Rattus norvegicus: one gene and its partners. The protein of the gene in region 2 binds, or shares a complex with, the protein of the main gene of each other region. Links are inferred from orthologs where the notes say so. Each region holds a gene or a part of one and is shown on either strand. Other genes may lie near its edges. The genes, in order: Gna11, Crhr2 and Ucn.

The links.
Region 1: the proteins of Crhr2 (region 2) and Gna11 are in contact, whole or in part, in a cryo-EM structure (PDB 7TRY), measured with the Homo sapiens proteins. The link is inferred for Rattus norvegicus from reciprocal best matches to the Homo sapiens genes CRHR2 and GNA11. Residues at the interface, in NP_001874.2 of Homo sapiens: Arg148, Tyr208, Leu209, Ala212, Ile213, Thr216, Glu220, Lys293, Lys307, Ala311, Phe358, Tyr359, Phe362, Asn363; in NP_002058.2 of Homo sapiens: Arg37, Ile348, Leu349, Asn352, Leu353, Glu355, Tyr356, Asn357, Leu358.
Region 3: the proteins of Crhr2 (region 2) and Ucn are in contact, whole or in part, in a cryo-EM structure (PDB 7TS0), measured with the Homo sapiens proteins. The link is inferred for Rattus norvegicus from reciprocal best matches to the Homo sapiens genes CRHR2 and UCN. Residues at the interface, in NP_001874.2 of Homo sapiens: Phe68, Asn69, Gly70, Val71, Tyr73, Ile101, Leu102, Asp103, Asp104, Arg107, Asp110, Tyr113, Leu117, Asn120, Trp166, Leu169, Gln170, Val172, Asp173, His174, His177, Glu178, Thr188, Phe191, Asn192, Phe199, Phe256, Gly257, Lys258, Asp265; in NP_003344.1 of Homo sapiens: Asn84, Pro85, Ser86, Leu87, Ser88, Ile89, Asp90, Leu91, Thr92, Phe93, His94, Leu95, Leu96, Arg97, Thr98, Leu99, Leu100, Leu102, Arg104, Thr105, Ser107, Gln108, Arg111, Ala112, Asn115, Phe119.

Annotation. Positions count from the first base shown.
Region 1 is NC_086025.1:8,812,806-8,817,137, reverse strand, and holds the start of Gna11 (guanine nucleotide-binding protein subunit alpha-11), read right to left. Parts: upstream 2,854-4,332; 5' UTR 2,622-2,853; coding exon 2,486-2,621; intron 1-2,485. UniProt on the Homo sapiens protein: Guanine nucleotide-binding proteins (G proteins) function as transducers downstream of G protein-coupled receptors (GPCRs) in numerous signaling cascades.
Region 2 is NC_086022.1:85,578,624-85,582,980, reverse strand, and holds the start of Crhr2 (corticotropin-releasing factor receptor 2 precursor), read left to right. Parts: upstream 1-1,517; 5' UTR 1,518-1,732; coding exon 1,733-1,835; intron 1,836-1,965; coding exon 1,966-2,091; intron 2,092-4,357. UniProt on the Homo sapiens protein: G-protein coupled receptor for CRH (corticotropin-releasing factor), UCN (urocortin), UCN2 and UCN3. Has high affinity for UCN.
Region 3 is NC_086024.1:30,956,755-30,959,460, reverse strand, and holds Ucn (urocortin precursor), read right to left. Parts: upstream 1,376-2,706; 5' UTR 1,341-1,375; intron 1,080-1,340; 5' UTR 1,067-1,079; coding exon 698-1,066; 3' UTR 545-697; downstream 1-544. Other genes in the region: Trim54 (tripartite motif-containing protein 54), read left to right, coding at 13-23. UniProt on the Homo sapiens protein: Acts in vitro to stimulate the secretion of adrenocorticotropic hormone (ACTH). Binds with high affinity to CRF receptor types 1, 2-alpha, and 2-beta. Plays a role in the establishment of normal hearing thresholds.

The DNA of each region.
Region 1 (4,332 bases), on a different chromosome or scaffold from region 2:
TATACCATCACTGCTCACTACTTGAGCCACCTGAGTGTCACCCTACAGGAAAGGGGCACAAAGTCCTGTGTAGCCTCAGCTCTGAGAACTTGCACTGGCCTCCAGTTAGTTCTGCAGGTTATTTTATATCAGTTACCACCATGGATGGCTCAAGGTGGGGTGTCTAAGCCTGGGTACACTGAGTGATGTCTAGGGATGCAGCTCATTACCCTGCAGTGACCAGGACGCCCACCCTGAGAACAAGCCAGTAGTCAACTGTTTGCCTGGCTGAACACTCTCTCCAGGACACACAGGGACTGGCAGAACAGGACAGAACACAAAACTCCCAGACTGGACCGTTCCTCACAGATGCAGTCCCAGTATGAGGGTGGTGGCTTCAAACCTGGACAAAGAGGTCAGAATCCTGTACACAGAGTGGGGCTCTCCCCGAAGGGACCACTCAGGGTATGTGGCGGGAACCCTGCCTGCTCCGGAGGGCAGGCTCCAGGACAGCAATCCTGGCCTGCTTCCACCTCAGGCAGTGGGGCACAGGGTCTCCACCCTATCCAGACAGCTGATGTGAAATGAGGGACAGTGCGACCGTGAGGCTGCAGGCAGGAGGTTGGAGCAGGTCTCACAGAACCGCCACCCCCAATACCTGGAACAAACAAACTGCCAGAGAACCAAGGTCATGGTCACCTCCTCCAGGAAGCCCTCACAGCAAGACCTGAGCAGTGCCCAAAGCTCACTCCTGTCTCCCTTTATCCTTCTGCTCTTATAAAGTAATTCCCAGACTCCTGTGGAAGGGTGTGACTGCAGACAGGTGCCCTGAGGGCACAGGTGGCAGCTAAGAATCCAATCACCTAGGGTAGAGGCATGGTGCTGTGTGCAGGTCAATGCAAGGCCCTTTAGCTGCTGGTCAGCTTAGCCTGGTCACAGCACAGAGGGCCAGGGAGCACTCCTGAATCCGAGGGGACTTCAAAGCCAGCTTTGGAGACAGAACAGAGCTGGGATGACACATCATTGGGCTCAGTCACCCAATGTCACCCTTACCTGGCAGCTTCTACCACTGAGCCCACCAGAAAGCTGCTGAACCTCTACAAAGGTCAGCTAGGGCCACACTGTGCCCCCTAGATGGCTACCTTGGGGCTACTGCTGTTTGCTCTGGACTGCTCTGTCCTCTTCTTATCCCTCCCTTCCTGGAAATCTGCATAGATTTTGAGGAATCCCACCATGTTGGGGAGAAGGAACCAAGGCCCCATGACCCTGAGAACCACATGGGCCACAGCAACAGAAGAGAACATGTGCTGACCCCTCCCATGGGACAGTTCAACTGTCACTGCCCTCCATCCCTTCTAGTCAAAGGCTCCCACAGTCCTTTCCTCAGGTTCTCCAAGGCCACCCTTTGTCTTGGGTCCCTGGACTGCAGCTCACCAGGGAACTGGGAGGGGCAGGCAGAGCTGCCCAGTCTGTTTTGTAAACCCCCGCAGGGCCCAGGCCACCCTGCCCTCATTTTGGGCTCTTATTTAGGGTGACAACAAGAGGACCTTGGCTCCCTGGCTCCCAGCAACAGGTGGGCCTTGAGGAGTCAGAACTCCAGGGAGTGACAGACATATGTTGAGTTCCCTGGGGTGGGTGGGCTGGGGAGACGACCCCCAGGAGGCAGGACAGGGGAAGGGAGCCTGCAAGGCTGACTGCTGTCAACCTACTGAGCTCAGGCGCAACAGAAGCCCAAAGAAGAAAAGCCACCCACTCTCCTGCACCCAGCTCCAATGTGGAAGAATTCAGAGGCTCTATGGAAGGAACACAGAGGGAGACTGGGGAGTACCCAGGAAAAGAACAAGCCAAGAGCAAAGCAGGACCCTTTGGAGGTTGAGAAGAGGGTGTAACCCTTGGGAACTGTCTTGGGGAACCTGGAAGCCAAAGGGGTATCATGGGGGGCAAGACAGCTTAAAGGGTTCACCCGAGGCGATCTAGGGACAATGGAAATGAGAGTCTACTTAGTGCAGCAGGGCCAGGGGCAAGCTCTGTACAAGAATTCTCAGGAGTGACAGAAAGCAAGTCTCCCAGGGCCCTGGGGTCCGACGTGGCCAACTGGCCTCGGATATCAGAGGCAGGAGGCTGACCCCGAATGAATCCAAGGCCTGGATAACAGAGGCTGGCCACAAAGGGTCGCACAGGCTAAGCCCAGGAGACCACATGGAAGAAGCTGGCCACCACAGGCCCAAGCCACCTGCACCGCTCAGGGTGCAGCAATCCCGGAAGGGCTGACCGCTGCAGGACGCGCTGACCAGTTGCCCCGAGGACACCCGGGGTGGCCCGACCGGCCGTGGGCTGTGGTCTGGAAGGGTCGCGCCCCGCTGTCACCGCGCGCTACTAGCCGGAGACCAGAGACCGCGGCGGGTACAGCGCCCTGCGCGCGCGGAGACCCCGGCAAGGCCCGGATGCCCCGTGCACCCACCGGGTCCCAGTGACAGAGGTCCCACAGCTCGGAGACGTAGCTCACCGAGAAGCAGCAGCTTGAGCTCGCGCCGGGCGTCGCGCTTGTCTCGCCGCAGCTGTTTCTCGATCTCCGCGTTGATGCGCTTCGACTCCTTCACCTCGTCGCTCAGGCAACACGCCATCATGGACTCCAGAGTCATCGTCGCGGTCCCCCGGCCGCCGCCGGCACGGCCCTGCCTCGTCCCAGTTCCCCGAAGGCCTGGCCCGGCCCCAGAGGCGCGTCCACCGTCCGCGCCGTGCAGCGCAGCTGCCGCCGCTGCCGCCACCCGCAGCCGTCGCCACCGAGCGCCGGCGCCCGACGACCTGAAGCGCTGCCACGGGCCCCGCGACGGGCAGGCGGCGCGGCCAATGGGAGGGGCCGCAAGGCTGCGCGCGCGCGCGCCGCAGGGACAGGACTCTAGAATCACCCGGAGGCGGAGCCTCGCTACTCGGGGGCGGGGTCTGGAGGGCGCAGCGCAGGCGCACCTTGGGTTGCGTCGACGTGGGAAGGGGTTGAGCGGCCCGCAGCTGGGCGCGGACGCCGAGCATTGTGGGAATGGGGAGGACTCGGCCGCCCGATTTCGGTTCCTTTCGGGAAGCGAAGCTCTTCTCGGCTCGGGGAAGTGCCGCTCGGCTACACTCGGCTCTTTTCGGCACGGGGAGGCACCGCTCGGTTGCTCTCGGTTGCGCTCGGCTCCTCTCGGCTCCTCTCGGTTCCTCTCGGCTCCCCGAAGCTGTGCAGGGAACGCGAGGCGAGAAGAGAGTCTGCAATTTTCGCCTGGAGGGAGCGCCCACAGAAGCCATCACCGCCTGTGGATGTGAGAAAACGCCCTGACTAGGGTCGCTCATCTATTCCTTTTTAAAATTTTAAATATTATTTATTTAATGTATATGGCTGTCTTCAGACACACCAGAATAGGGAATCAGATCCCATTACAGATGGTTGTGAGCCACCACGTGGTTGCTGGGAATTGAACTCAGGCCCTTTGGAAGAGGACAGTCAGAGCTCTTAACCACTGAGCCATCTCTCTAGCCCTCGCTCATCCATTCTTAAGCAGGCCTGTCCTACTGTATACAGTGCAGCACTCGCCGAATATCACGCAAGTAACAAGTATGAACAAAACGCTTGCTGGAGAGTATGCGTTGATGCGGCAGCCTGCTGTAGCTCAGGTATTAATATCACATCTACTGTATACCAGGCTTCAAGGGAACACGCATATGAAACTGTCACCTTCAGTATAGGGTATATAAACTGGGTGTTTTTCACATATTACTACGTGTGCCAAACATGAATGCTGTGCCTGCTGTATACCAGACATTATATGTAGTTTGTATATAGATAGTTATGGAGCCCCTGCTGTCAATCAGGCTCCTGGCAGCTGAGGAATAAGCATTAACAGTCTGCCTGCTGTATACCAAGCACCAGCCTCTGCTGCTATACATGTGAACGCCATGTGTGATGTTTGCTGTTTTACAGTGCTGGGGTGGAACCTGGGACACCCCCCCCCCCCCAGCTCAGGCAGGTAAGCTCCCTGTTGGGGGGGCCAATCTGAGTCCCCTAAGGGTGAACTAACTCACAAACCTGAGAAGTGTTTTCCCACCTTCCAGTCAGTGCTCAGTCGGTGCATTAATAACAAAGGCAACTTAAAAGCCAGGGCTGTGCTGCATGTGTTCCTGTCCCCGTCCCTGCCTGACCGCCCAGCCTTGAGATAAGGCTGCGAGGGGAGGGTCAAAGTCTCCGTTTACTAGTTGATTGGGGTTATAGCGTTATCCACCGAAACTCTCCTATCTGGGCCTCTGTCCCCACCCCAGGAGTTCACGGCACAGACAAGGGGCCCCCGTGTGGCCCAGTGAGGTCAAAGTTCCTCTTTC
Region 2 (4,357 bases):
CCCAGTCCCTATTCTGTAGAAATCTGCATGTAAAAGGGTAGGTCAGAAGTGCTCACCACCTCCTTACTGTGGTATGTGTCTCCTGAGCCATGGCTCTGATTAGGAATAAAGTCACCCGGGGCTGGGGATTTAGCTCAGTGGTAGAGTGCTAGGAGGCGCAAGGCCCTGGGTTCGGTCCCCAGCTCCGAAAAAAAGAACCAAAAAAAAAAAAAAAAGGAATAAAGTCACCCTTTGCACTTGAATTGGTTTCCTTCTTCTCTGTGCTATGACAGTATATGAAGGGCCATCCTTTGCTAGTGAAGGAGACTGCATCCCTGTGAGGACGGACTCAGCCAGTCATGCTCAGACCTAAGACTGCCGAGATTTGGACCGGAGTCCCAACTGTCCATCCAGGAGGCAGAGGACAGATCTATCTGGTAGTCTGTCTCCCTGCCAGTTGGCAGGTCCTAGAGAGAGTCCAGGGCTCAGTCTGGTCTTACCACTTGCTCAGTCTCTCACAAACTCACTTGCTGTGCGAGGGAATGAGGGCACCATTAATATGGAGGCTAGGAAGACTGTACAAAAGCAATGGCAAGTTCTTTGGAGGACCGGCCTCTTTAGGGGGGCTTTGGCCTTCACTAGCACCTGGTCCCCTATGGAGGGTGCAGGAGGACTGGACTGGTTCTAGACCCTCTTACACCATGTCTATAGATGCTCTGGACTGTGAAGGAACTCAGAAAACATGCCACTGGTGGAGAAAAGTCAGGAAGGCTCTTGCCTCAGGCAACATGACAGAAAAGAGAGGCAAAACCGCATCCAGACTGGAAAAAAAAAACACCTAGGCAGGTTCCTCAACCTAGGCCCATCCACAGTTATAGGCCCACCCTGAGCACTCTACAGGGTGCTCACCCCTCCATTCTTGTGACTTTTCTCCACTCCTCAGATAGCCCTGCTTAAGCCAGGAGAAAGAGACCTGTTTTCACCTCTCACTCTATCTGGTGCCCAGGATACTAAAACCATCAAGTCTTCCAGATAATTTTAATTAATGTCTTCCTAGATATTCTCATCTCGCTGCTGGTGGCAAATCTGCCGGTGTGAAATCTGGCGTTGTCACCAGTTCCTGGCTCCTGCTGAGAGCCATCTACCTACTCCATATTTTCTCCATCTCTCTTAGACCCTCTCTGGTAAACTGTCTGCAACCCTCCGGGGCCCCTTCAATCCATTTTCTTCCCCAGGGCACAAATCTGCTGCTGGGCCGACTTGTTGCCCCTATCCATCTCTAGTGTACTCCTTTGGGAGGATAAATTTCAGGGTCAGGAGCAGACCAACTTTGGCTGGCAACGGGTGTAGGAAGGTGGTGTGGATTTCCTGTAGACCCGAGGCCTGCGACCCTCGATCCTCGGACGGGTTATTAGCCACCCCAGACCGTAGATCGTCAGCCCTGCCACCATTCCAGAGACTTCTCTGGTCAAGAGAGCACCGACGGGGCTGGAGATAGAGCCCCGCCCCCGACGCCGCTATTGGTCATGGTCGAGCAGGCGGCCCCTCATCTCCGTGAGCCCCGAGGCTTCTCTTGGCCAAGGTCCTAGGAGTGATCCGATTGAGAGCGGCGCCCCAAAGCTGCCGGGCTGGCCGGGGTGGGCGGGGAGGCACCTGGACGCTGCACTCTCTGGTGGCTCCGCGTCGCGCCAGGTCCCTCGCAGCCACGCGGGGCGCGCACTCCCACTCCCAACGCGCGCGGCTCCGGAGCGCAATGGACGCGGCGCTGCTCCTCAGCCTGCTGGAGGCCAACTGCAGCCTGGCACTGGCCGAAGAGCTGCTTTTGGACGGCTGGGGAGAGCCCCCGGACCCCGAAGGTAGGCAGGAGGCGAGAGAAGTAGCGGCACGCGGGCTTGCTCCATGGCTTTCTTCTAGCGTTGGTCTGAGTGGGGCCCCCGTGCTCGGGCCACCCCCTTTGAGCCTCTGTGCGCTCCCTCCTGTCTCCAGGTCCCTACTCCTACTGCAACACGACCTTGGACCAGATCGGGACCTGCTGGCCCCAGAGCGCGCCTGGAGCCCTAGTGGAGAGACCATGCCCCGAATACTTCAACGGCATCAAGTACAACACGACCCGTGAGTGCCCCTTGCTTGTCTCGTGCTGGCCTCCCAGAAAGGCGGTTCAGGAAGAGGGGAGGGCTCTGAACCCTGAATTGGACACCTACCGAGGGTCTCTGTACCCTGAAGCGCTTATTTCTGGAACTCTGTAAATGTGGGGGCACACCTTCTGTTCCTAACTCTACGACCGCTTCTAACCCAGGCTAAGTGGTGGTTTGCCCAGAGTTCTCATGCTACATTTGGAAAGAACTGAGCAAGAGAATAGGAAATGCTTCCTCCCCTTAGAGGCAAGCTCCCACACTGTTTAGGTGCCTGATGTGCGTCCCTTCGGGTCTCTGTTCATTCAATCCTCTCACATCCCTAAGGCAACACAGCAGACCGATGTTAAGGCCCGAGTCCAGTACCCACAGTGTGACTAAGGGGATCAGACCCAACTACTGGAGAGGAGAGATCGGGAGGGGAGAGGGACACGAGATGAGCTCCTATATCGGGGAACATACCAATCCTAGAGTCCGGGAAGCCAGAGGAGATAGGGGATCATCATTTTCCCTAACCCCTGGCACGCACTTGGCTTGTGAGTCTGGAGCCCTGGGCTGCATTACCTCTGTTCAACCTCAGGTAACTTGTGGGTTTGGATGAGGTCCATACCTCCACCTCCCAGTTAGAACAGCCTTCAGTTTCCTTCCTCCTGGAGAGCCCCCTGAGAGGTACACTACAGGAAAAAGAAGAGGGAAGCGGAGGTTGGGGTGGAGGGGCATTCAATCTGGGGTTTGTGTCAATGTGCACATGTCAATACAAATGGAAGCCAGGGCATGGGAGTCAGGACTGAGCTCTGTGAGATTGTGGGTAGCAATAGCTCGCCCACTGGACATCCTCACCTGTCCAGCCCTACATGCTAATATGGCACTGATGAGACTCTGTGGCAAGCTGTTTGTCTATAGCCCTTACATCCTAGCAGTAGTGTCTGAATTGTGATCTACCTCCTTCACACGTGCATGTCCCAGCTCTCTGAAGGCAAGAAGACCTTCACCTTATAGGTACTTAAAGCAAGGCCACAGTGCCTGCACTAGAGCCAGGCTCTACTCCCTGGGCTCAAGGAGCAGCCTGCTCTGACGAAGCTAAGACTGGATGCTCCTAATAGAAAGGAAACATCTGTGGAGGTAGAGGTGCCACTGACGAAGGTTTCCCCATCATCCAATCAACGCCTGCTAAGCACAATTAAAACAGATCTCATTGAGAGGTAGTGAGGATCCTAACCCAGGAGGTAGGCGAGAAATGCCTTCAAGTTCCCTCTCAGGAATAGCTAATGGCATTGTATTTCGAGGAAGTGACCTCTGTAACACTGGGCAATGAAGATCAGGTACCTAATTCAGAAGCACTGAGGCTAAGGGCCATGCAGGGCAAAGGGGGAATGACGGAGTCTGAGGACGCTAATTGTGAGCTCTTACCCTGTTCCCTCCAAGCAGCCTGGAACCCCACCTGAGCACAGCACAGCATCATATAACCAATCGCTGAACCCCTACTGTGTGCCAGCTACAGCAACTATACTTACAGTATTGAGACTGCCCTTGCATTTGCACTAGACATAAGAGTACAGAGTGTTAACTGCCCTGCTTCAGGAAAATCAGGGAGCTTATGGGAAGAAGGAGAGGCAGGGACATCGCATACCAGACCCCTCCCATCAAGTCCAATGAGAAACTGAAAAAAGGGTCAGGATGCCACTGAGGTCGGTAAATGTGGTAGCAATTAGCCCTTAGTATCTAATGAACAATTTTCTTCATTTGGACCAAAGTGCTGCCTGTACCTTAGGAACACAGGTCTGGGGGTGGGGTGCTGGCTCAGAGAGATACCTAGAGCTGGGAGGGTGCAGTTGGTCAGCCCTGGCTCCTGGCAGCAGTGGAAATACCCAATAGATGCTCTTCCTACCTGGGGCCAGCCCAGCACCTCTATCTGCTGTCTTCAGCTGGCCTTCTCAGTGGGCTCCTTCTTTAAAAAGAGAAAACCACTCAGCGAGGAACCTGAGGGAAGTTCCTAATCTCATCATGTCACGGGCACGCTTTCCCTCCCCAGTTCCCGGCCTCTCAGAAGGCAGATAGTGCTTGAGGATAGGAAACGCTCTGTGGAGATGGCAGTGTCTGCAGAGGGGCTTGTGGTCTGTTAACTCCGCTGAGCACAGAACCTTTACGTGCTAATCGCTGCCAGGTGCCTGAATCACCAGAAGAGCCTACTACCCACAATTCCACTCCTGCGGCCCCCTAAAGACCCACGCTGTTTTCAGACCCTA
Region 3 (2,706 bases), on a different chromosome or scaffold from region 2:
CCCCCGGTTCAGGTTTGCACTGATCCGACTCTGATCCAGAGCGCACGCCCGGGAGCCAAGGGATGCTGAGGATCTGCGCAGAGACCATCGCGCTACCCATCTCGGCCTCCACCCCCAGGGATGGTTCTCAATAAAGAACTCATGTGTCCCACGTCCCACGTCCTCAGCTCCTTTCACTGCCCACTCCTAGGCTCAACTATAGAAGCAACCTCGCCATTACTCTGCCCTTTCTCAACCCCAGACCATCTGAAGGGGTGGAGGTGAAATAGTCCGAAGTGGCACCTCCTTTACATCAGAGGTGGCCTCCTGAGCCGGAGACCCTGAAAGGTGTCTGGGTTGGGGTCTCAGACCACCGAGTTCCGGGATTTGGCGGGTTGGGGGAAGGGCCATAGGAACTTTACTGATAGGCTGCCTCTCCCATCCCACTACGCATGCTTGTCTCTCCTACCGGCCTGGAGAGCCCCACTCTCCCAAAAGTTCTTACCCTACTGTGGTTGCCGGTGCCCCCTCACCCCTGTAACAGAAGATAGAGGCTAAGCTCTTGGGCAGTTTTATTAAAAAATATCCAGTCAGAGTGTTCAGGGTAACTCTGGGCGGCGCTGCAACGCGGGACTGAGCCAGCTCCGGTTGTGCGCGCTCCAGCCCCGGGGTAGGTGGGGGAAAGGGTCAAGGCTTTCTGGACCCCATACGGGGCCGATCACTTGCCCACCGAATCGAATATGATGCGGTTCTGCTCTGCGCGCTCGCGCTGGCTCTGTGTCCGAGCTAGCTCTAGCAGGGTCCGCAGCAGGTGGAAGGTGAGGTCGATGGACAACGGCGGGTCGTCTCGTCGTTGCCGCTCGCCTGCAGGCTCAGATCCCGCGCGGCGCGGGAAGCGCTCCGCTAACAGCAAGAGGAGTGCGCGGACACCTCCGCCCTGATTCCGCACTCCGGGGTTCCATCGCAGATTCGGATCCTGGACCACATTCGCCGCCGCAGCCGCTGGGCTCCACTGGCTGCTCTCCGGGCGCAGCTGAACCAGAAGCAGCAACGCTACCAGGAGCGTAGCGCGTCCCCTCTGCCTCATGGTGCCGCCTGCCCTGGACACACAGGGGCAGCATAGGGTGAGATGCACTTGGAGCAGTCACAGGTGACACGAGCCCCTTCGCGCACACGCCCAATGTCCCCGCTAGGACCCTCCAGCTGTTGCCTGGTGTCCACAACCTGCCCACCAGCCCAAGGCGCTGTGCCACTCCAGTTCCACCCCTCCCTCCTTTCCCTCCGGGCAGGTCAAAGTGGGTGGGCTTAGTGCAGAGTCCTGGCGGTAAGGGAGTCTGGATCGTTTGCTCCAAGCCACTCACAGGTTATCGGAGTGTCTATCCAGTGCAAGATGGAGCTCCAGTCTCTGTCCCCGGGGACGGGTTGAAGACGCCTTGGGGAGCACGGGGTCGGTCCCGGGACCGCCGCCAGCCTTATATAGCACCGGGACAGCTCCGACTGACGTCAGCGAAGAACTGAACTGATTGTAGAAACAGTGACACTGGCAGCTTCGAGTCCAGTAGCTTCGAGCCCCCAGAGGGGCACGTATCCTGACTTTGTGTCCCTGGAGCTATCTTTGGAAGCACCCTGGCTGTAGAGGGAGAGGCTGACGGAGCCTTAAAGATAGATCTTTCCGGATGCAGACAGAGTCCTTCCCACCACCAGCCTCTCCACAATAGGATAGTCAGGGGTTGGTTTCTCTGCTCAAGTACGGATTGGTAGGATTGTGGAGCTGTCCGTGGTTCTGAATTTCTTCACGGCTAAGAATCTGGGCAGAAGTTCTGGGGAGAACCCTGGGCTGCCAAGACACAGTTCCCTAGGTCGGCTACTGGGTCCCCAGATTGAGATCAGGAATGCTGTGCTGGAAGGGGCTCAGACAACACAGTCCCACCCAAAGCCCCTCCCACCCTAATAGGTCCCTCCCATTCTACTGACCATTGTGGTACAGCAGTAGAAACTAAAATCTACAGGTGTCAGAATGGCATAAAAGGGCGTTCGGCTTTCAGAACTTAACGCACCTCCTGAGTTTGCCAAAGTAAACTTCCTAGGACCCACAGAAATAGTACTTCATACCTTTATCTTCTAGTTAGGATTACTAGGTGAGGAACTAGGGGTGGGGGTACTGGTGCACTCCTTTAATCCCAGCACCGGGGAGACAGAGGCAGGCAGAACTGTGAGTTTGTGGCCAAACTGGTCTACCGACCCGAGCTAATTCCAAGACAGTCAAGATTACACAAAGAAACCCAGTTTTGAACACCCCCCCCCCACACACACACAAGAAATCACTAGTTAGGAAGTGAGCAAGTTCCTGCTCTCACATCAACTCGAGGTGTGGTCAGGTCTCTCACTTCCAAAATCATTGGTGTCTGTAAATGAAAAGCCTCCACTTTAGTTACAGACATGTCAGCCACTGCAGATTCCAGATAATAATGTATCTATTTCTGTGTGTCTATAAAGTCCCAGAGGGGGGTCTGGAAGGGCACTAGGACCTAGAAACATTACGAAACATTTTCTTTTCTTCTTTTTTTTTCTTTTCTTTTCTTTTTTTTCAGAGCTGGGGACCGAACCCAGGGCCTTGCGCTTGCTAGGTAAGCGCTCTACCACTGAGCTAACTCCCCAACCCCACGAAACATTTTCTAGTCTAGGGACGTTGCTCAGTGTTAGAGCACTTGACTAGTATGCCCAAGG